5 linked regions of the Macaca fascicularis genome follow. The protein of the gene in region 1 interacts with the protein of each later gene in a biochemical or structural test. Links are inferred from orthologs where the notes say so. Each region holds a gene or a part of one and is shown on either strand. Other genes may lie near its edges. The genes, in order: MAP2K7, MAP3K11, LRRK2, MAPK8IP2 and GADD45B.

Region 1 (3,513 bases):
TAGAGAAACCCCGTCTCCACTGAAAATACAAATCAGGCGGGCATGGTGGCGCATGCCTGTAATCCCAGCTACTCGGGAGACCGAGGCAGGAGAATAGCTTGAACCCGGGAGGCGGAGGTTGCAGTGAGCCGAGATCACTCCATTGCACTCCAGCCTGGGCAGCAAGAGTGAAACTCCATCTAAAAAAAAAAAAACATAAAAGAGATTAGGTGGAAGTTGCAGTGAACTCAGGTCGTGCCACTGCACTCCAGCCTGGGCAACAGAGCAAGACTCCGTCTCAAAACAAAACCAAAAAAATGTAAAAAGCGTCTTGAAGGAGGTGGGGGGAGAGAAGACAGCCCTGCCCGAGCTCTGAGCGTAGTGCCAGCCTGTGGTGGGCATGCAGGCTGTGCCCCATGCCCGTGTTGGGAGAGGGAGTAGATGAGGTGCCTGGCCCTGTGAGTGACTGTGAGTGTGTGTGTGTCCGATGGGCAATGGGGACTCTGTCCCAGCTGCATGGGTGTTGGGTCCACAGCGGCACGCCCCGCGTGTGTGTTGTGCTTGTGTGCACTTGCACGGCGTGTGTGTGCATGTTGACATGGCAGCCTGCACACCTGTGGCTCCTGTCAGCAGACACGTGCCCTCCAGCCTCTCGCTCTCTCTCATCCATTCTTTCTCTCTCATCCTCACCCTCTTGCTGTCACTCCACCCTCCTGAGCTGCCATGTGGCCATCGCCACCTCTGTGGCCTCTGTTCTCAGGGCCTTTGTGTACCTCCTTCCCCCAGTGCCTACCTGAGCCCTCCCTTCCGTTCCCCCGTGCTCCAGTCTGTAGGCCAGCAGCCTCCTCCCCAGGCTCTGGGGCTGCCCTCAGAAGGCCTGGTGGGCTGTGCCGGGGAGGGGGCCCACAGGACTCCTCGAGGGCTGTGGTCCTCACCCCCTGAGTGCAGGGCGGGAGTGGGACTCAGATACTCTCTGAGGGCGGGAACCACGCAGTATCTCAAGAGACACCAGGTGCACAGGGGTTGGGGGCTGGGTGTGAGGGGAGCACAGGCCCTCGGGAGCCAGAAGAGGATCGGGGCTGTGGCTCAGGCCATGGACAGAGCAGAGGCACAAGGACCTGAAGAAGCAGAGGGGGGAACCTGGCCAACGCAGCGAGATCCCGTCTCTACTAAAAAGACAAAGATTAGTTGGGCATGGTGGCGTGTGCCTATAATCCCAGCTACTCAGGAGGCTGAGGCAGGAGAATCACTTGAACCTGGGAGGTGGAGGTTGCAGTGAGTTGAGATCACGCCATTGCACTCCAGCCTGGGCGACAGAGTGAGAACCTATCTCGGAAAAAAAAGGAAAAAAAAGCACCAGTGGGAGGTGACATGGTGCTGCGGAGGCTGCAGTGGCCAGGACAGCGGGAGGGGCACGGGAGGTGAGGCCTCTAGGCCAGTTAGGAAAGCTGGGCCTGACTGTGTCCCCAGGTCCCCGGAGCCCTTCCCCAGCTCCTGCCTGGTCCTCCAGGAGGGGAGCAAGGGGACACAGCTCCTGCAGGGGCTGGTGGGACCAGGTAGGGGCAGTGCTGGGCCTCCTGATTGAGACTGAGGTCAGCGTCCTCCTGCCTCTCCTACTGGCTGAGATCAGGGTCCCAGGCACCCAGGGGAGGGACGGGGTTTAGCTGCCAGCGTGGAGCGGGTCTGTCTGTTCGTGTTAGTCCCTGGGCACCAGTCACCAGGAGCCTGCAGAACTGTGGGAAGAAAAGGTGGACGGGGCAGGAGGAAGAGAGGGGGTTGTCCGTTGAGGGCTTTGGGAGAGCGGCAGGCCCCAGCCCCTGTGGGAGGGGCACCTTGGGAGGTGTGTGCAGCTGTTGTCAGGGCCTCTGGGATGGGAGGTGTCAGGATTGGCTCCTCTGGAGGCCACGTTGGCATCCCGGCCTCTGTTCCTGCACCCCATCGCCAGCCCAGCCAGGGAGACCCTAGCTCCTCCAGGAAGCTGCCCTCCTGTCCCAGGCCCCTCTCTGGCCTGTCTGTGCAGTGCCTCCTCTGGGCACCTGGGCCCAAGTCTTGGTTCCTGTCTGTCTGTCTGTCTCCTGCCCTCCCACCCCTAATGCTGCCTGCCTGCCCCAGGGTGCCCGCCGCCTGCCCGCCGCCTGCCCGCCCGCTGTAGCATGCCCGAGCTGCCCGCATGCAGGCTGCTGGATGAGCCAACCCCTGCCTGGCCCAGCATTGGCCCCACCTGGTCCCGCCAGCCCCTGCAGGAGCTGTGCCCCCCAACTCTCCTCCCAGATGATGCAGGCCCCCTGAGGTCCTGTCCTGCCCCCACGGGCCCCAGCTCTGCAGGCCAGGCCGGGAGGCCCCCGTGTCAGCCCACTGGCCCGAGGGGGCCCTCCCGAACCCGGAACAGAACATGGGGCAAGGCAGCCTGAAACCTGGGTCTCGTGCCCACTGCCTCCCCAGGGTGGCCCCGCTCGCTCTCGTCTGGGAGCCAAGTTTAGTGCTACCAGCAGGGCCACAGCCCGGGCCAGCCCTGGCAGGCACTCCACCCCCGCCTATCCAGCCTGTGGGCGCTGTGGTCCTGGGCCTGCTTCCTGGGCAGAAGTGGGAGGAAGCGCCCACACCTGTCATGGAGGCTGCCTGGCCGAGGGACACCTCAGGTCCCCGTCTCATTTCTCCGTCAGCGTAGACTTGGGGCTCCCTCTCCCCTGCCAGCCTCTTCCATTTCTTTCCACGTCAGGGGATGAGACAAGGGACCCTGAGGACAGTCTGGGGTGGGAGGGAGACCCCAGCTCCTCCAGCCCAGCAGGGCAGGGGCTGTGCCGGCCTAGCTAGGGAAGCCCAGGAGGGGAAGGTGAGGGTCCCGACCTCTCCCTGGAGTGCCAGATGTGGAGCTGAGACCAGCTGGGTGCTGACCCCTCCCCTGCCACTGGTTCTCACCCCCCCAGCCCTGCAGCTCCCGCTGGCCAACGATGGGGGCAGCCGCTCGCCATCCTCGGAGAGCTCCCCGCAGCACCCCACGCCCCCCGCCCGGCCCCGCCACATGCTGGGGCTCCCGTCAACCCTGTTCACGCCTCGAAGCATGGAGAGGTGAGCCAGGGGCCCGGCAGGGTTGGGTGGGAAGCAGCATTGAGGGGCCACCGTGCCAGCCTCGGGGAGGGCGGTTAAACCGGTGAGAACCCCGGTATGGGGGGCTGGGGTGGCCAACCTAAGGTCAGGACCCACCTCCACCGGCACCTGCTCCTTGTCCCCAGCATTGAGATTGACCAGAAGCTGCAGGAGATCATGAAGCAGACGGGCTACCTGACCATCGGGGGCCAGGTACCACCTTCACTGTGGCGGGAGAGGGAGGAGGCCCAGCCAGGCTGGACCCATCCTGGGGGTGCCAGTGGGGGGCGGGGGGCGGTGACAGAGGCCCCGGGGACCCTCCAACCCTCCCTCTCCTCCCAGCGCTACCAGGCAGAAATCAATGACCTGGAGAACTTGGGTGAGATGGGCAGCGGCACCTGCGGCCAGGTGTGGAAGATGCGCTTCCGGAAGACCGGCCACGTCATT
Region 2 (4,050 bases), on another chromosome or scaffold:
CCACCCCAATCCCGCAGACAGCAACTTGGGCCTAAGACTGGGGTCTCCGAGGTTAAATGCCAGGCTCAGGGAGGCTGAGGGCACCTTGCCTGCCCTTTACCACCAACTCCCAGACTCTGAGAGGGAAGCAGGGGAACTAGAGGGGAGTGGGGCAGCAGTTCCAGGCTCCTTCCTCCCGCAAGCCCTCCACCCCCAGCTCTTTCCTCCCCTGCAGGCAGCTGGGCTAGGGAGGGAGCAGGGGCTGGAGCAGGGACAGGAAGCCGGCTCAGGGCAGCAGGAAACGCAGGAAGCAGTGGGGAGGGTGGGGAGCAGGGGCCTGGGCTATTGTTCCATTTTTTCTGGAAAGAAAACGGAGGAAAAACAGAAGATGGGAGTCCCCTCCCCCTGCGCCTTCAGGGAATCCCCCTCAGATTGGGGCAGGTAGTGGGGGTCCCTAGATAGAGCCCAGGGTTGAGGCTGAGAGGTGGGAACTGCACCTTACAAGGGATGAGAAGAGTGGGTGGGGTGGTTGGCAGGCCTCCCCTGGCTCCTCCAGCCCTGGCAAGAACTTGGATATCTGGGGCTCAGCACTCTGTTTCCTGCAAGCCCCTTGTCCATGGTCAGCCCAGGCCAGGAGGCTCAAAATATCCACATGGACCCCCCTCTAAGAATGTCTCATGCTTTTCCAGTGACCCCACTGAGCCTGGCCCCTCCTGCATTTCCTACTGCTGCTCTCCAGCCTGCACCCTGGGCTCTAGGAGGCCCCTGCTCCTGGTCCCTGCTGTGTGCTAGGTCCTGCTTCCATGCCTTCGCTCTCTAAATGCTGCGCGCACCAGGAAGCCCTCTGAAGCTACCACTTGCTTCTCTTGGGCCGTGATGGAAAGCGTGTTGGGGGCTTAAAATGGTGGGAGATGGAGTCTCCCTTAGCCCAGCACTCCCACCCCAAGCACTGATTGCAGGCTAGGCCCTCTTGGTGATCCAGCCCTCAAATGTCCATCTCCATGGCTGAACACCCGCTGCGGGTTGGGGATCGCAGGTCAGGCTTGCCCAGGCTGTTGAGCTGTTTCACTCTCCCTTTTTACAGAGTCTGAAATTGAGGCTCCGAGTTTGAGTAACGAGCTAGAGGTCATGCAGCCAGGGAGGGCTAGGCCAGAATTCCAGCCCTGGCCTTGGCCTTGACTGCCAAGGAGGGCTTCTCCCTCTGAGATATCTGTTCTGGAGGAGCTGCCCATGATGACAGGAGAGGACAGAGCACCAAGTCTACGAATATGAATTTAGGGGAGGAGAAGATGGGGAGCGCGAGCTTCCAGAGGACTTCCTTGAGGTGGGAGGCAGAGCTGGGCAGGATGCTTATGGCCCACCTGAGAAATCCCAATTTCTTAACTTGTCCAAACCTCAGCTGCAGGCTGGGGCCAAGGACTTCTGAGGCTGGGACAGGAAGACTCTTCTGGGTGCCTGGAGCTCTGTTTGGGGGCTAGCTTGAGCCCATGGGCACCTGGTCAGCTGGGACCCCCTAGGGCGAGTGCTCCTACCTGCAGCAGACCCTAAGCTAGGCTCAGTGGAAGGTTGGGAGCAGGTGTGTGCCAGAGCCATGCCACCCGCAACCAGGCCGCCAGAAACTCACTGTTGTTGGACTTGAGGTCGCGATGGATGACGGGCACCAGGGCCTCGCAGTGCAGGTAGTGCATCCCACGGGCAATCTGCACAGCCCAGTTAACCAGCACATGGGGAGGCACGCGCCGCCCTGCCAGAGCTCGGCTGAGGGGTCCACCAGCTGCATACTCCATCACCAGGCACAGGTTGGGCTCCTCCAGGCACACAGCCTTGAGGGCAATGATGTTGGGGTGTGCTAGCATGGCGAAGAGCCGGGCCTCCTGGCGAACACTCTCAGCTGTCACACTGATGTCCTCATCGGGGTCCTGGCGAGCTGCCTTCACAGCCACCAGCTCACCTCGCCAGCTGCCCCGGTACACCTTGCCGAAGCCTCCAATGCCGATCACCTCCTCCAGCCGCAGCTCCTGGAAGCTGGCCACCTCGCAGGGGGGCGGGCCGCCACCCCGAGACACATAGTTGGATGGGAAGATGCCCACCTGGCCACCCACCTGGCCTGCCCACCAGCCCTCGTCTCCTGAGATGGCTGCGTCCCGGGACAGCACCTCCACACGGTCACCCTTCCTCAGGGCCAGCTCGTCCTGCCCACTGGGCTCGTAGTCGAACAGGGCTGTCCACACCGGGTTGGCATAACCCGCTGCCTTTGGAGACCCCTCAGGCCGGCCTCCTCCACTGCCCCCACCACCCCCGCTGCCACTGCCATTCCATGACCCTAGAGGGCTCTTGAGGAAGAGGCTCTTCAAGGGCTCCATGGCCGGGAGCCGGCGTTGGGATGTGTGGAGGACCTTCTCTGGGTGCCCGTGGTCCCCACCCCCGCTGGCTGCCGAGGCCCTAGTCCCGGAACCTGGGCATCCGGGCCCTGGCCCTCAGCCCCAGACCCACGCCTCTCTGGGGAGCCAGGAGTGTCGCCTCCCGGCCCCCCGCATCTCGGGCTTCTGGAGGAGGGCACCCAGGGCAGTGTGGTCAGGCCGGGGGGGTGGGGCCCCGGGGCCTCCGACGCCTCACCATGGCTAGCTTGGAGGGGCCCGAGCTTCCCTCGGTCCTGGAGCAGTCCTGGGAGCCTGGCTCCGGCCCCCGCCCAGCGTAAGGTGGGGCCTCCAGGGGCAGCGCCTCAACTCCGGTTGGGTCTTTTTGCGCGGGGGTGGAGGGAGCGTCCACAGTTGGGCCCAGACTGCCTGTTCCTGTCCCTGGCTCCTTTGGTCCCCGACGGCTCCGACCCCGCTCCCTTCTTCCTCCTCCCTTTGTACTTTGGCCTCGGGGGCGGGAGGCAGAGGTGGAGGGTGGAGTTTCACTTTTTTCCGCTCTTCTCCCTCCTGCAGGAAACAGCATCAGATGACGCGGGCGGCCTGCACCGCTCCCCTCCCAGAGGCTCCAGCAGGGGAGTTCCCGGGTAGGCGGGCCAGGAGAGGCAGAGGAGGGAAAGGGCAGAACCAGATTCCCCATCACAGCAGGCTTTGAGATATAGAAAGAAAAGCCTCCAGCTGCGTGCTCTGCTGGCCAGGGTGCAGGTTGGTCTCTGCTAAGGATGGGCCATCTCTGTCCTCTGCATCCGCACTGGCGTCAGCAAAACGGGGTTACAGAACCACACTTGGGAAGGGGGTGAACCCAAGTCTGGTGTTGGCTGCGAAGTTGTGGGACTGTGCGATCCATCCATTCTGAGCCTCATTATTTTCTTTCTTTCTTTCTTTTTTCTTTTTTTGAGACGGAGTCCTTTCTCTGTCACCCAGGCTGGTATGCAATGGCGCAGTCTAAGCTCACTGCAACCTCTGCCTCCCGGGTTCAAGCGATTCTCCTGCCTCAGCCTCCCGAGTAGCTGGGACTACCGGCGCGTGGCACCACGGCCGGCTAATTTTTGTATTTTTGGTAGAGATGGGTTTCACCACGTTGACCATGCTGGTCTCAAACCCCTGACCTCGTGATCCGCCCGCCTCGACCTCCCAAAGTGCTGGGATTACAGGCGTGAGCCACCGCGCCCGGCCATTCTTTTCATATATGATATGAGTACAAGAAAGCTCTGCCTCGCAGAGCTAGTGGGATGGGGTGGGGAAGACTGGAGGACAGACGGAACTGGCTGCACCTCAAGCTCTTGGAGTGGATTGTCTAAGGTTCTGCTCTTCTCCTCACCTGGGAAACAATCCGCTTCTTCATATCCCTTCCCCATTGGCAGAATCCTGAGACTTGTCCAGAACTTTGCCCACGATTGGATTCAGAATAGCTGAGTCGCCCTCAGAACCTCTGGATAGGGCTGCCCCAATTGCTTTAAGCCTGTCACTTTAAGAAAGACGACGCTATCCTTTTTCGACTATTCCTGCCTGTTCCGGAAGGTTGTTCTCTACACCCTAGGTCTGAGCTCTGACCCGGAAGTAGACGCCGCTGGGAGACGAGAAACGATCAGGACGTAGGAGGTCCAGCATTAAAGGGGGCGGACCGAGAGGGGCGTGCTTCGGTAGTGCAGAACAC
Region 3 (3,513 bases), on another chromosome or scaffold:
TGGGTTCCACAAAATACAAGTCACTTAACTGCAGTGCTGGGTCTTGAAAATGAAGAAGGACTCCTGTAGTAAAAATTCATCAAACAGTGAAACATGGAATGTAGAACAACTATCAAGGGGCTTTAGAAAGAATCTAGTCCAACTTCCTCATTTTACAGGTAAAGAAATTTCAGCATACCTAGTGGCAGAGCTGGGACTAGAAGCTGTGCATCCTATGGTCTAAAGTCCCAATATTATAATGGAGTATTTTTAAACTACATAAAACAATCATATATAAACATATTTGAGACACTGACATGCATTACAAAGCATATTTCATGCATACATAGAAATTCATAATTTTCTGTTTTGCTTGCTGAATAAACACTACAAAGACATGTTTTATTTTCAAATACAGATAAGAAACACAGCATATTTCAGCATACCTTAAGAACAATGGGGAAAAGGAACAGATCATAAACCACAGGAAGCTATTTTTCACACAACAGAATCTAGGGATCAAAAGCAGCTTCCCAGTCACTTACTCTAGTACTATCAAACAACTCACACATTTCTGGCAAAGTAATATGATCAAGTACACAATTAGCACTGAAGTTGGTTTGAGAATTTTCATCTTTGAGACCAATATTTGATGAAAGAGAGCTAGATCTTCCACTCAGCAGCTGCATCATCTCAGGGAGCCATTGATTCTCAAAGCGTCCCAGTTAGACCATTCCAACAATAATTCCCCTTTGCAATATAAAAATAAGTTTCACATGCACTAAACTCATTTGACATTATGGAAGGATATGGTTGTGCTTGGGGTTCCACAGCTCCTGAATAGTACAAGTAAGTTCTAGAACCCAAATATTTTAACTCCCACTCAGGGAATCTTTCCACTACTTTACTCCTAGGTGATTTCTAAATTTGTTTTCTTACAACATGATACATGATTTATCATCCACACACATGATGATCCTCCAAAAAGAAAAAAATCAGTGCCCTATTAAAGAACTGTATGGATATTCTCTCAGCTTTGAATGTAAATTCTATACAAGATTCAGAAACACTTTTATAAGTTATTACAGCTGAGCTTTGAAAGTAAGGAAAGAAACACACAAACCTGATTCATTTAGAAAGTGAACTGCGTGAGGAAGCTCATTTTCATCTAACTGCAACTGATTTTCTCTCACTAGTTGTAATAATCGTTTCTGGTCAATTACAGGAAATTCAATTGGCACATTTTTACGCTCCGATAAAATGATTTTCTCAAGTTCTACATAGCAGTCTGGAATCAGCTGTCCAACAACAGGCTGATCTCGGATCTATGAAATTACAAATGACAAGCCGTAAAAATCTATTTTATTCGTGTATGTGTCAAATGGTTGGCAAATTCAGTGCTAACAGTTTTTACAGAAACAGATATGTTATTCAGAAGTACATTTTTAAATAAAATCAAAATATAATAAAAAGCTATTTAGATTGTAAGGAATAAGTACAATGAAATTAAAATAGGAAAACTGTTGATCCAGAGGCAAATTAGGAAATATCAAATAAAATGGTATGGAAATGTTTATCTTGCTACACAGAAATTCCATGGCAAAAATCAAGATAAATCACTAACCATAAGAAAGATTTTTTATATCTTAAGACATTAAACTTAATGTGAAACAGACACGCTAGCATAAGATATCAGTACAAATTACAAGAGCTTTTGGATATTATATTTTAAATATTCAAGGTAAAACATTAAATTTTGTGCTTGTTATTTGTAAAATGTTATATTGATGGGATGCATATATCAACAGTGAAACCTGGAGACATAAGATCCCACTCAAGCTATGTTGTTCATGGAGTATTTGGGAAAATGAGAAATCATCTAAACACCAGTGATTCTGCTAGGAGAGGATGATCATTGTTCTGTTGCTTTTAGAATCTAATCACTGTCTACAAAATGAGAAATGCATAAAAGAAGATTTTTTAAAGAATGGGCTTAAGAGGATAGTTTCTATAATAAAAGTATCTTCCAAACATTTTTTAAAATATAATTTTAAATAGAAAAGCAACTCTTAATAACATCCGCAATGCCTTTAAGAACCACCAGATGGCAAACTCTCCCTATTTCTGGGCCTATGGAAATTACATATTCTTTTCACCTGAAAATAAGAAACAGCATTTCTGCTTAAATTCTTACACTTACTACAAACAGAAATTCAGCACACAGAGACAAAAAATTAACTTGGTCTTTTTCATTTGTGACTAAAACCTTAAGGAGACAACCATAACCATTACTTCTGTATTTACCTGTAAATGGTTACTCAAGAGACTGTTTTCGTGTATCTTTTGACCCAGAGAATTGGAGATAATTTCACTAATCTCCACTTTTCATGTTCCCTCTCAGAGTTGTTCATAAATTAAGATGAAATGGAACTTCAGATTGAGGTTTATGTTTTAATCCAAGGAGGGAAACCTCCATATAAAAGTAAACAAGAGTTCTCAAAGAAAGCAAATCAAGTAGAAACGGGATGAGTTTTAGGGGACTAGGTCTCAAAGCCTAAAGGGATGCCTGCTCTGCTAATGGGCTGAACAAGATTAAAAGGAGTATTGTCGGCATTCAACTCTGTATTGTCCTGCTTCTCCTTTCAGCATGATAATCAGTTCACTGACAGGCTGAGTCAAAAAAATAAAACTTAAAGTGTCTGCACAGACACATGTTAATAAGGTTGAGACAGAAAAAGATTAGAGAAGAGCTAAGATCAAAGGGAAAGATGAAAAATAAATGAGAGGACAAAAAAAGATCTCTAATAGATTAAAAGCTGCTCTTTGAATTCAGGTTGAAGCACCTCAGGGAAGAAAGAATTTTCAAGTTCTGGCAGGCCCACAGGCCCTGGGTCCTCCGAAAGAGTCACTCTTCTACAAAGCAATCAAATGAGTTTTCAAACCATTATGCCAGAATGCTGCATCCATTAGCAATATATACTTTTCTTTCACTAATACTGGTATTTCTCAAAGCATTTGTTTTACTTCCTTGTAAAAAGTTGTCTTCAAAGTTGATTTACAAGTGCCAAAAGGAAATCTGGTCTGATTTATTGGTAATGATATCTATTAGACAAAAGCAGTATTAATACAGCTTAATGAGCCATCTTATCTGTGACTTTGCATCAACTAAATTCAGGCCTTTTCAAAACAAACTCGTCCTCCAACAAGTCTTTTTAAAGATATGATACATTATCTGACAGCAATGACGAAAAGGGAAATTATCAAAATATTCTCAGTAACAACAAAGTTTTTGAAGTATGGGTATAGTCTCAGAAAAAAAAAAAAAAAACCTCGATTAAGAGATTAACTGGATGAATAAATTTTGTGTATTTGTTTTTCTTTAAGTCATATTACTTTCTAATTACATGTCCAACAAGAGAATAGGAAAATCTACAAATAAATAATGTCATTTTTACATGACATTACTGTCTATCATCAATAAAACCTTTTAATAACTATAATAAATGTGTGCTGAAGGACACGAACATACAAATT
Region 4 (3,513 bases), on another chromosome or scaffold:
GCGTCACTGCACACTCAGCTCAGAGAGCCAAGTGGGTGCAGGTGGAGCTCTCAGGGTTGGGCACGAGCGGCCCTCAGGGTCTGTGGGGACTTGGGGGATGGTTAGGCAGCCCTCAGGGTTTGTGGGGACTTGGGGGATGGTTAGGCAGCCCTCAGGGTTTGTGGGGACTCCGGGGGTGGTTGGACTCTCAGCGTTTGTGGGGTGGTTGGGGAACTCGGGGGCAGTTGGGGGACTCGGGGAGTTGCGGGTTTGTGGGGACTCGGGGATGGTTGGAATCTTACCAGCTGTTTCGGGGGTGGCAGCCGCAGAAGGAGATGTTCTTCATCTGGAAGAAATGGCTGCAGCGCTGGAACTACAGCAGAGGTGGGCAGAAGCCCCCGTGTTAGAGGAAGCCTGGGGCCACCCCTGCCTCCCGCCTGCCTGACACCCCTGCCAGCCTGGCCCCGTCTGACTCCGTGGCTTAACCGTACCCCCCCGTCCCCTGTCCCCAGTCCCCCAAGCCCCCACCTCGGGCCCTCCTCCGCTCAGACTCAGCTTGACCCCCCGAAGAGAGATCTCGAGGTCACAGGAGGCAGGAGGGCGCAGGTGGACAGTCAGTTTCCGGGCAGTGGCAATCTAAGAAGTTGGGGGAGAAGAGGGTCCTGAGGGGCCCACAAGGGCATCTTTCTTTCCCCTTGGTGGGACTACGTACGCCTCTGCTCCTTTTAGCTTATGTTTGAGGACATGCATGCTGAGGACTCCTGAGATGCAATTCTGGAAGACATAAGGGAGTGGCCTTGGCCACTCCTCAGGCTCAGGGGAAGCAGTCAGCGTGCTTCATCTTCCTTCTGCTCCTCCAGGCAGGGTGCTGCTCTGGGCTCAGGAGCCAGGAACACAGACCCCACCCACCCTGGCCTCTTCACTGCCTGGCCCTACAAGCTCCAGGGAGCTCTCAGAGGCAGGGCTGCTCTGCCCTGCTCCCTACCGCCCCCCAGCCTCAGTCTCAGTACTGGTGCATGGGCAGGCGCGCACTAAACGTCTACTGAGTGAGTGGATGAGTAGGGGGCTCCCAGGGAAGGGGCTGTGAGGGCTGGTCTTGATTCCAGACAGGAAGAGGAAGGGCTGATGGCACTCGGGGCCAACTGGAAGATCTGTGGCCCAGAGACCCAGAAGTAATGAGGGACAGCTGCTGAGCTCTGCCCTAGACTCACCTGCTCAGGCCTCTGAACCAGGGCCTGGGGTACCCATCCAGAGCTACCCCTGCAGCATCCCTCACACCCTCCCTGGAGGAAATCAGACGCCTTGGAGCCTCAAGGCCCTGTGCCAGCCTGCAGTGCTGGTGGGGCCACCATGCGAACCCTCAGCTTGCACTTGCCCGGCCTCCACACTGACCTTCTGCATGGCCGCACACAGGATGCCATTGCCCTGGTGGCAGGGCACCTCCACAGAGCCCAGGAACTGCACATCAAAGCGCTCCACCCAGCAGGGACTCCGCTTGCTCCCTGGGGAGGGGGCACAGAGGGCCCAGGTCAGGCAGGGGCCTAGGGGAGGATCTGGGGTGACACGCCACCCCTCGGGGTTGGGACCTCACCCAGCAGGTCCTTGGCAGGGCCGGGAACCGCATGGGCGTAGAAGGCAGGGAACACACCGCGCTCCCCCGTACGCATGTTGAAGCCACGGAACCAGAAGTCATCCTCCTCGGCCTCCACCAACACGGGGTCATCCACGTCCAGCTCCAGTTCGTCTGGATGCCGCGGGATGAACCTGCCGTTGGGGGAGAGGTCACTGGGGAGGGGGGCGGGATTGAGGGTCGTGTCCATTGGCGTCCTGGGATGGCACGGACTGAGGCTGGGGCCACCGCCAGCAAGGAGGGAGGCTGTACCTGAACACAGCCCTGTGGGTCTGCTCTCGCTCCTCACCGTTGACCAGACAGGAGAAAAGGCCAAAGGACTCGGTGCCTGGGAGACCAGATGGGACAGAGGTGGGGAAGACAGGGATACAGAGAGGCAGAGTAGGGGAAGGAATGTTTAGAGGCCTGGCCTCGGGCAGAGGTGGAGTCCCCTCTGCAGGCCGGTGTGGGTGTCCTGGGAGCAGGAAGGGGCTGAGGCAGAGCAGGCCACCTCATGCCATGTCCTGGATGGGAGAGGGCGCCCAGCCCTGACCATGGCCAGACCCTCAGGTGGCCCCGGGCACTGTGGGGGAGCCTGGGACTGGGGCCAGGGACTCCGCATGTTCCTCTGGGTCACCCCCCTTTTCCCTGCCTGTCACTCACTGGAGGACCGGGATGTGCTGTTGACGAAGACATTGAGGAACTTCTTGGAGAAAGTGAGGTCAGGGCTGTCCGGCGAGGTGTCCCCCGGGACCTGACCACCGCCTAGCAGCGCTGCGCCCACCTCCTCCTCGCTGGCCTCCCCGCTGCTGTCCTCTTCGCTGTCGTGGCCCAGCCCGGCGCAGCGCCGCAGGCTCACCAGCTCCAGCTGCGTATGCTCGTCCACCACCAGCGTGTACTTGACCGCGTCATACACCAGCGAGGCGTCCCGCGGCGCCGAGGGGTCCGTGCCCCTGCCCCCGGGGGGCCCCGCACTGTCCTCGGCATCCTCCTCTTCCTCGTCGTCCTCTTCGTCCTCCTCCTCAGAGCAGGCGGCGGAGCAGGCTCGGCCCGGGCGGGCAGCGCGGCCGGGCGCGGCCCACAGCGGCGTGATGGTGTCACGCGTGGGGTTGCTGAGGAACAGGCAGGGCCCGGGCTGCGCGGGGCCGGGTCGAGGCGCGGCGGGCGCAGGCGGCGGCGGCGCGCACAGCGTCTCCATGTCCACCAGCTCCACGTCGCCGGGCCCCGCGGCCGCCTCGGGGTCCTGGGAGTCCTGGGCAGCCCCGCCGGCCGGCGACACGGGCTCCCCGGGCGGGCGCGGCGCCGGAGACAGGCACTGGCCGGGGCAGCGGATGGGCGAGGAGCCCTCGGAGATCATGCGGCTCACCAGGTTGCTGAGCAGCCAGGGCGAGTCCGCGTCCTCGCTGAGGTCCGGCTCCGACTCCGACCCCGACTCGTACTCGCTGTTGGTGTCGTCGGGACCCACGGGCAGGAAGGCGGGGCGGCGCGGGGGTTCGCGCGGGGGCTCCGGCTCCGAGGCGGGCGACGAGGCCTCCTCGATGGAGTTGGTGAGGTGCGAGGAGCGGCCGCTGCTGCTGCTTCCGCCGTCGCTGCTCAGCTCCAGCTCCGTCTCCGAGATGGACGAGATCATGCGCCCTAGGCGCGCGCCGCCCGCGTCCTCTGAGTCGGAGCCGGGCGAGGACAGCTCCTGGCTGCTGCGACGTCCCCCGTGGCCCCCGCTCGAGCGGCTTCTCAGGTCAGCCTCGATGCCGGGATCTGAGGAGGGCGAAGTCCCCCCTGGCGCCGGGGGTTCCGCAGGCCGGTTCCCTTCGCAGTCGCAACCCGGGCGCACTGGCGACTGCGTCCCGCCAGGCCCTGTGTCCGTGGGAGGGAGGGGGCCCGGGGGCTCTGCTGGGCAGGGAGGTGGGGGTCACCCTCTCTGCACC
Region 5 (4,047 bases), about 5.5 Mb from region 1:
GCGGAATCCTCCAAAGGAGCTCTTCCTTGCAAGTCCTGAGCTCACCTCGCTGTGTGGTCCCAGGTGCCCCATTGACCGCTCTGGACCTTGGGCTGCGGTGGCGGCCGCCGGGGCGGTCAGGGGCTGCAGCCAGCACCCCCTCCCGCCGAAATGCCTCCATATGTGCCCAGAGCTTAGGGCTGGCTCCTGCACAGCCAGTAACAGCGGTGGCACGGCGGCCAGGTTTCGTAATAAACCGGTCTCTTAATTGCTACAGGGTAGGAGGAGAGGAAAAAAAAAAAAAAAAAGAGGCATAGATTTGTTGGAGTCGGTGGAGGCGCCTGCTGCAGAGAAGAGGTACTGTTTTGCACGGGAGCCTGGAGCTGCTAACAGGGGCTTGAGTAACACTTCCTGGTGAGCTGGCAGGGGTTGCGGAGGAGAGGTGGGGAGGGGGGGTGTGAAGCGTGTCCCAGGGGAGGGGGCAGGGGTCCCGGTTGTTCTCAGAAGCCGAAAACATACAAGCACCCAGAAGCTTTAGAAATTTATTACAAGGTCATCAGAGTAGAAATAAAAATATAGATATCTGTGCTTCCCATCTCGCTCTCAGTGGTTCGAGTAACAAGTGCAAGTAACAAAATAGATTGTCTCTATGATTCGCAAACTGGGAGTTCATGGGTACAGAGCAACTTCGGCCCCAGCTCCCAAGTCCCAAAGTGTGGTCTTGTCGAGGGTGCAGACAAGCACCAACCAAGTTCAACCAGGTCTCTAGTCTGCAGACGCCAGCTCCAGTCTCAAGGAGGGTGGGGGTTGCAGTCAGTCTCACTCCACCCTCAAGTGGAGAGTCTGGACCTTCCATGATAGGGAAGGCGGCAGCGTGCCCCGCCCCTCCAGCTTCTGCTCCATCCCAAGGCCTGAGCTCCGGGGTCCTGTCTCCTGCTGGCCTGGGTCCCCACTTCTCCTCCATCGGATCGGCGGCCGCCAGCTCCCCGATCTCCGCCCTGGGGGCGGCCACTCACTCCCCTTCTCCTCCTCCTCCTCCTCTTCAGTCTCCAACGACTCTGCCCCCGATGGTTTCGTGGGTTGGGTTGTTTTGGGGGGGTTGTGCTGGGGGGGAGGGGGGTTCAAATATTTATTTTATTTTTTGTTTTTGGCAGCAACTCAACAGGTTCTGCTGCTGGGAAGGGCCTCAGCGTTCCTGAAGAGAGATGTAGGGCACCCACTGGTTGTTGCCCCGGCTTTCTTCGCAGTAGCTGGCTACCTCCACCAAGCCGTGGCTCTTCCAGGCGTCCGTGTGAGGGTTCTGTGGGAGGGGAAAAGAAAGGGTTTAGTGGGAGCCTCCCTCTCCCAGGGCCCCATGTGTGGGGAAAACAGGCAGGCTCAAAATAGCTCCCTGGGTGAGGAGGCCCCAGCCCGGCTGCCCACGGGACATGCCAAGCATGGTTGAACCCTGAGCTGTGCAGGACCAGTCAGCCCGACTTTGTTGACAAACACCAGCCCAGGTGCCCGGGCGTGGCAGGTCAGGGCAGAGGCCCAACTCACCGTGACCAGGAGACAATGCAGGTCTCGGGCCTCAGTGGTGCCCTGGGTCTCGGCCGGCTCTCCCAGGAGCTGTGCCAGGCGCTGCATGCCCGACACCCGCATGATGTTAATGTCGTTGTCGCAGCAGAAGGACTGGATGAGCGTGAAGTGGATTTGCAGGGCGATGTCATCCTCCTCCTCCTCGTCAATGGCCAAGAGGCAGAGGACCACGCTGTCTGGGTCCCTGAGGGGGCCAAAGGGAAGGGGTGGGTCAGCCGGGAACAGGGGAGAGGCCACCGTGCAGGGGGAGTTTGCAAAAAAAGGAGCGTGCAAGAGCAAAAGAGAAACTGCAGGGGTGCAGGGGATTGCCTCTGCAAGCTGGTGACGGTGGGGGGCGGGGAAGGCACACGGTTCAAAGTGTGGGGTGTGGGGAGACAGGCCCACAGCGGGAGGGGCGCTTGCAGACGATGCATCAGGATACGGCAGCCCCCAATCCACAAAACAGCAGAGGAGCTCTGCATCCACAGCGGGTGGCACTTGGGGAAGTCCCAGCCCCATGCGAGACAAGCGTGTGGAAAGCGTCCAGAGCGGAGGGGAGGTCCCGTCCCACCCGCGCCCGGCCCGGGGAGGGGGTCTGACTCACACATTCATCAACTTGGCCGACTCGTACACCCCCACTGTGAGGCGATCCTGGCGCTGAGCGGCCACCAACAGCTCCTCCACCGCGGCGGTCACCGTCTGCATCCTGAGGCCAGGAGAGAGGGATCAGTGACGGGCGGACCACCGGGTGCTACATTCCGCTCCCGGCCCGGCCCAACCCGACCCATCCCGTCCCGGCCAACCTCAGACGGCGGCGGTCCCGGCTACTTACTTCTGCGCCGCGTTGTCGCACGCCACGAGCTCTTCCAGCGTCATGTTGCAATTATAATCCACAGTGGACGCGGCTCCACGACAGTCCCCAGGGAGAAATTGCAAAATCCGCGCCAGAGAGCCCAAAACCTTCCCACGGAGCTGGAGCGCTCGTCCAAGACCTTCGGGAAGCAGCGAAATCCTTCCAGAAAAGGCGGAAAAAAATGTTGCAAAGTCCTTGGCGAAAATAATCCGGGAAGTTGCAGAAACCAACCGTAGTCCGAAGCCTCGGCGATCTGAGCCGGGAGCCTCCGGCACCGACTTTTATAGACTTGACGGCTGGGGCGAGGCCTCAGTGGAGTCATTCAACCCTCCTATTGGTGGAAGGACAACGGAGAGTGCAGACAGCTCTGCGGTTGGCCGACGGCGGCGAGGGGGCGGAGCGCCGTGTGGGGGCGCCCCACGTGGGGGCGAGAACCGGGAGGAGGGCGCGCGGGGGCCGGGTAGGTGACCGCGAATGCCAGAAAAGAAAAAAAAAAGCAGAAGTTTTTTTCTCCTGATTTCCCGGCAGCCGAGCCGCGGTTCGGGGCGCGCGCGGGATTTCCAGCGCGCGAGGCGGCCCGGACTTTCGCCGGGGGGGGGCCTGGAATCCCCTCCCGCTGCGCGGAGAGTCCCGGACTGCTCCTTTCCCAAGTTCTGCTGGGGGTGGAGGGGCTGCACCGGGAAAGGGCCCCGTTCGCAGCCTGATCTCGCCCAGGTGGTGGTGATGACCGGAGTCTCTCCTGGCTGCGGCGACCCCAGCCCCTGGGTGATTTCGCTTTTCCCGGCCTCTATATTCCTGTCTGAGTAATGGGGCTGCAGCGCCGGCCTCGCTGGTTTGCAGAGCATCACATAAAATACGGCTGACAGTAAGCGCTCAATACACATCATCTGTCACCTGGTGGTCGCGGGAGGCCTCCTCCAGGGCCCCGAAAGTGGGAGGTTGCAAAGCCCGGGGCACTCTGGAGAAGAAAGCGGGCGCCCCCTCGCCGACCCCGCGAGTTTCAGGGTGGGGCGCGCGTGGGAGGTGCAGGTGGCGTGGCCCCGCCCCCGCCAGCTGCCTGGCGTTCCAGGCTTTGCGCGTGCGGAGGCCTCCAGGCCGAGGAGAAAGCCATTGTTGGGGGGAATGGTGCAGGCTGCGGCTGCACGCCGCTACCCCAGGCCCACGTGCAAGGATGACGGCCACCTTTATTTCTCACTCCGGGGTGGGCGCTGACCTGCACTGAGCGTGGTGCGGATCTGGCACCCTCCACCCCTCCCGATTCATGGATGATTTAATCCAAGACCTGAGAAGCAGGGGGGATGCTTATGTGCATTATGCAAAAGGGTAAACTGAGGCTTGGTGAGGCCACAGGCTAGTTCGTGTTGGAGCCACGCCTGTGCGCCAGGCACGGCCGCCTGCAGGACTCCGCCGCCCCAGGAAGGCTGCTTAGGAACGAGGCGGGCAGGCCCCGCATGACAACGTCTCCCACGGTCGACTGGGGGCTCCCGGGTGACTCACGTCTGAGTCCCCTCCCCCGCCAGCCTGGGTTCTGGCCTCGGCCCTGCGGCTCGGTTTCCCCGGTTCCCCGGCTCCCCGGCCCGCGAGCCCAGCTGACGCATCCCGCCTTCTCCGCGCCGCCCACCGCTGGGGCACGAAATGTCCCGGGGCTGCGAGGCGCG

The links.
Region 2: of the proteins of MAP2K7 (region 1) and MAP3K11, one has a biochemical effect on the other in vitro, tested with the Homo sapiens proteins (2 studies listed by BioGRID). The link is inferred for Macaca fascicularis from reciprocal best matches to the Homo sapiens genes MAP2K7 and MAP3K11.
Region 3: of the proteins of MAP2K7 (region 1) and LRRK2, one has a biochemical effect on the other in vitro, tested with the Homo sapiens proteins (2 studies listed by BioGRID). The link is inferred for Macaca fascicularis from reciprocal best matches to the Homo sapiens genes MAP2K7 and LRRK2.
Region 4: the proteins of MAP2K7 (region 1) and MAPK8IP2 form a complex in vitro, tested with the Homo sapiens proteins (2 studies listed by BioGRID). The link is inferred for Macaca fascicularis from reciprocal best matches to the Homo sapiens genes MAP2K7 and MAPK8IP2.
Region 5: the proteins of MAP2K7 (region 1) and GADD45B form a complex in vitro, tested with the Homo sapiens proteins (2 studies listed by BioGRID and IntAct). The link is inferred for Macaca fascicularis from reciprocal best matches to the Homo sapiens genes MAP2K7 and GADD45B.

Annotation. Positions count from the first base shown.
Region 1 is NC_088393.1:8,620,718-8,624,230, forward strand, and holds part of MAP2K7 (dual specificity mitogen-activated protein kinase kinase 7), read left to right. Parts: intron 1-2,906; coding exon 2,907-3,048; intron 3,049-3,212; coding exon 3,213-3,279; intron 3,280-3,408; coding exon 3,409-3,513. UniProt on the Homo sapiens protein: Dual specificity protein kinase which acts as an essential component of the MAP kinase signal transduction pathway. Essential component of the stress-activated protein kinase/c-Jun N-terminal kinase (SAP/JNK) signaling pathway.
Region 2 is NC_088388.1:8,754,839-8,758,888, reverse strand, and holds the start of MAP3K11 (mitogen-activated protein kinase kinase kinase 11), read right to left. Parts: upstream 2,805-4,050; 5' UTR 2,343-2,804; coding exon 1,604-2,342; intron 1-1,603. UniProt on the Homo sapiens protein: Activates the JUN N-terminal pathway. Required for serum-stimulated cell proliferation and for mitogen and cytokine activation of MAPK14 (p38), MAPK3 (ERK) and MAPK8 (JNK1) through phosphorylation and activation of MAP2K4/MKK4 and MAP2K7/MKK7.
Region 3 is NC_088385.1:46,793,763-46,797,275, reverse strand, and holds part of LRRK2 (leucine-rich repeat serine/threonine-protein kinase 2), read right to left. Parts: intron 1,305-3,513; coding exon 1,103-1,304; intron 64-1,102; coding exon 1-63. UniProt on the Homo sapiens protein: Serine/threonine-protein kinase which phosphorylates a broad range of proteins involved in multiple processes such as neuronal plasticity, innate immunity, autophagy, and vesicle trafficking.
Region 4 is NC_088384.1:951,049-954,561, forward strand, and holds part of MAPK8IP2 (C-Jun-amino-terminal kinase-interacting protein 2), read right to left. Parts: intron 3,479-3,513; coding exon 2,252-3,478; intron 1,938-2,251; coding exon 1,862-1,937; intron 1,744-1,861; coding exon 1,571-1,743; intron 1,482-1,570; coding exon 1,372-1,481; intron 616-1,371; coding exon 508-615; intron 353-507; coding exon 282-352; intron 1-281. UniProt on the Homo sapiens protein: The JNK-interacting protein (JIP) group of scaffold proteins selectively mediates JNK signaling by aggregating specific components of the MAPK cascade to form a functional JNK signaling module.
Region 5 is NC_088393.1:3,130,540-3,134,586, reverse strand, and holds GADD45B (growth arrest and DNA damage-inducible protein GADD45 beta), read right to left. Parts: upstream 2,645-4,047; 5' UTR 2,413-2,644; coding exon 2,369-2,412; intron 2,243-2,368; coding exon 2,141-2,242; intron 1,742-2,140; coding exon 1,519-1,741; intron 1,280-1,518; coding exon 1,166-1,279; 3' UTR 508-1,165; downstream 1-507.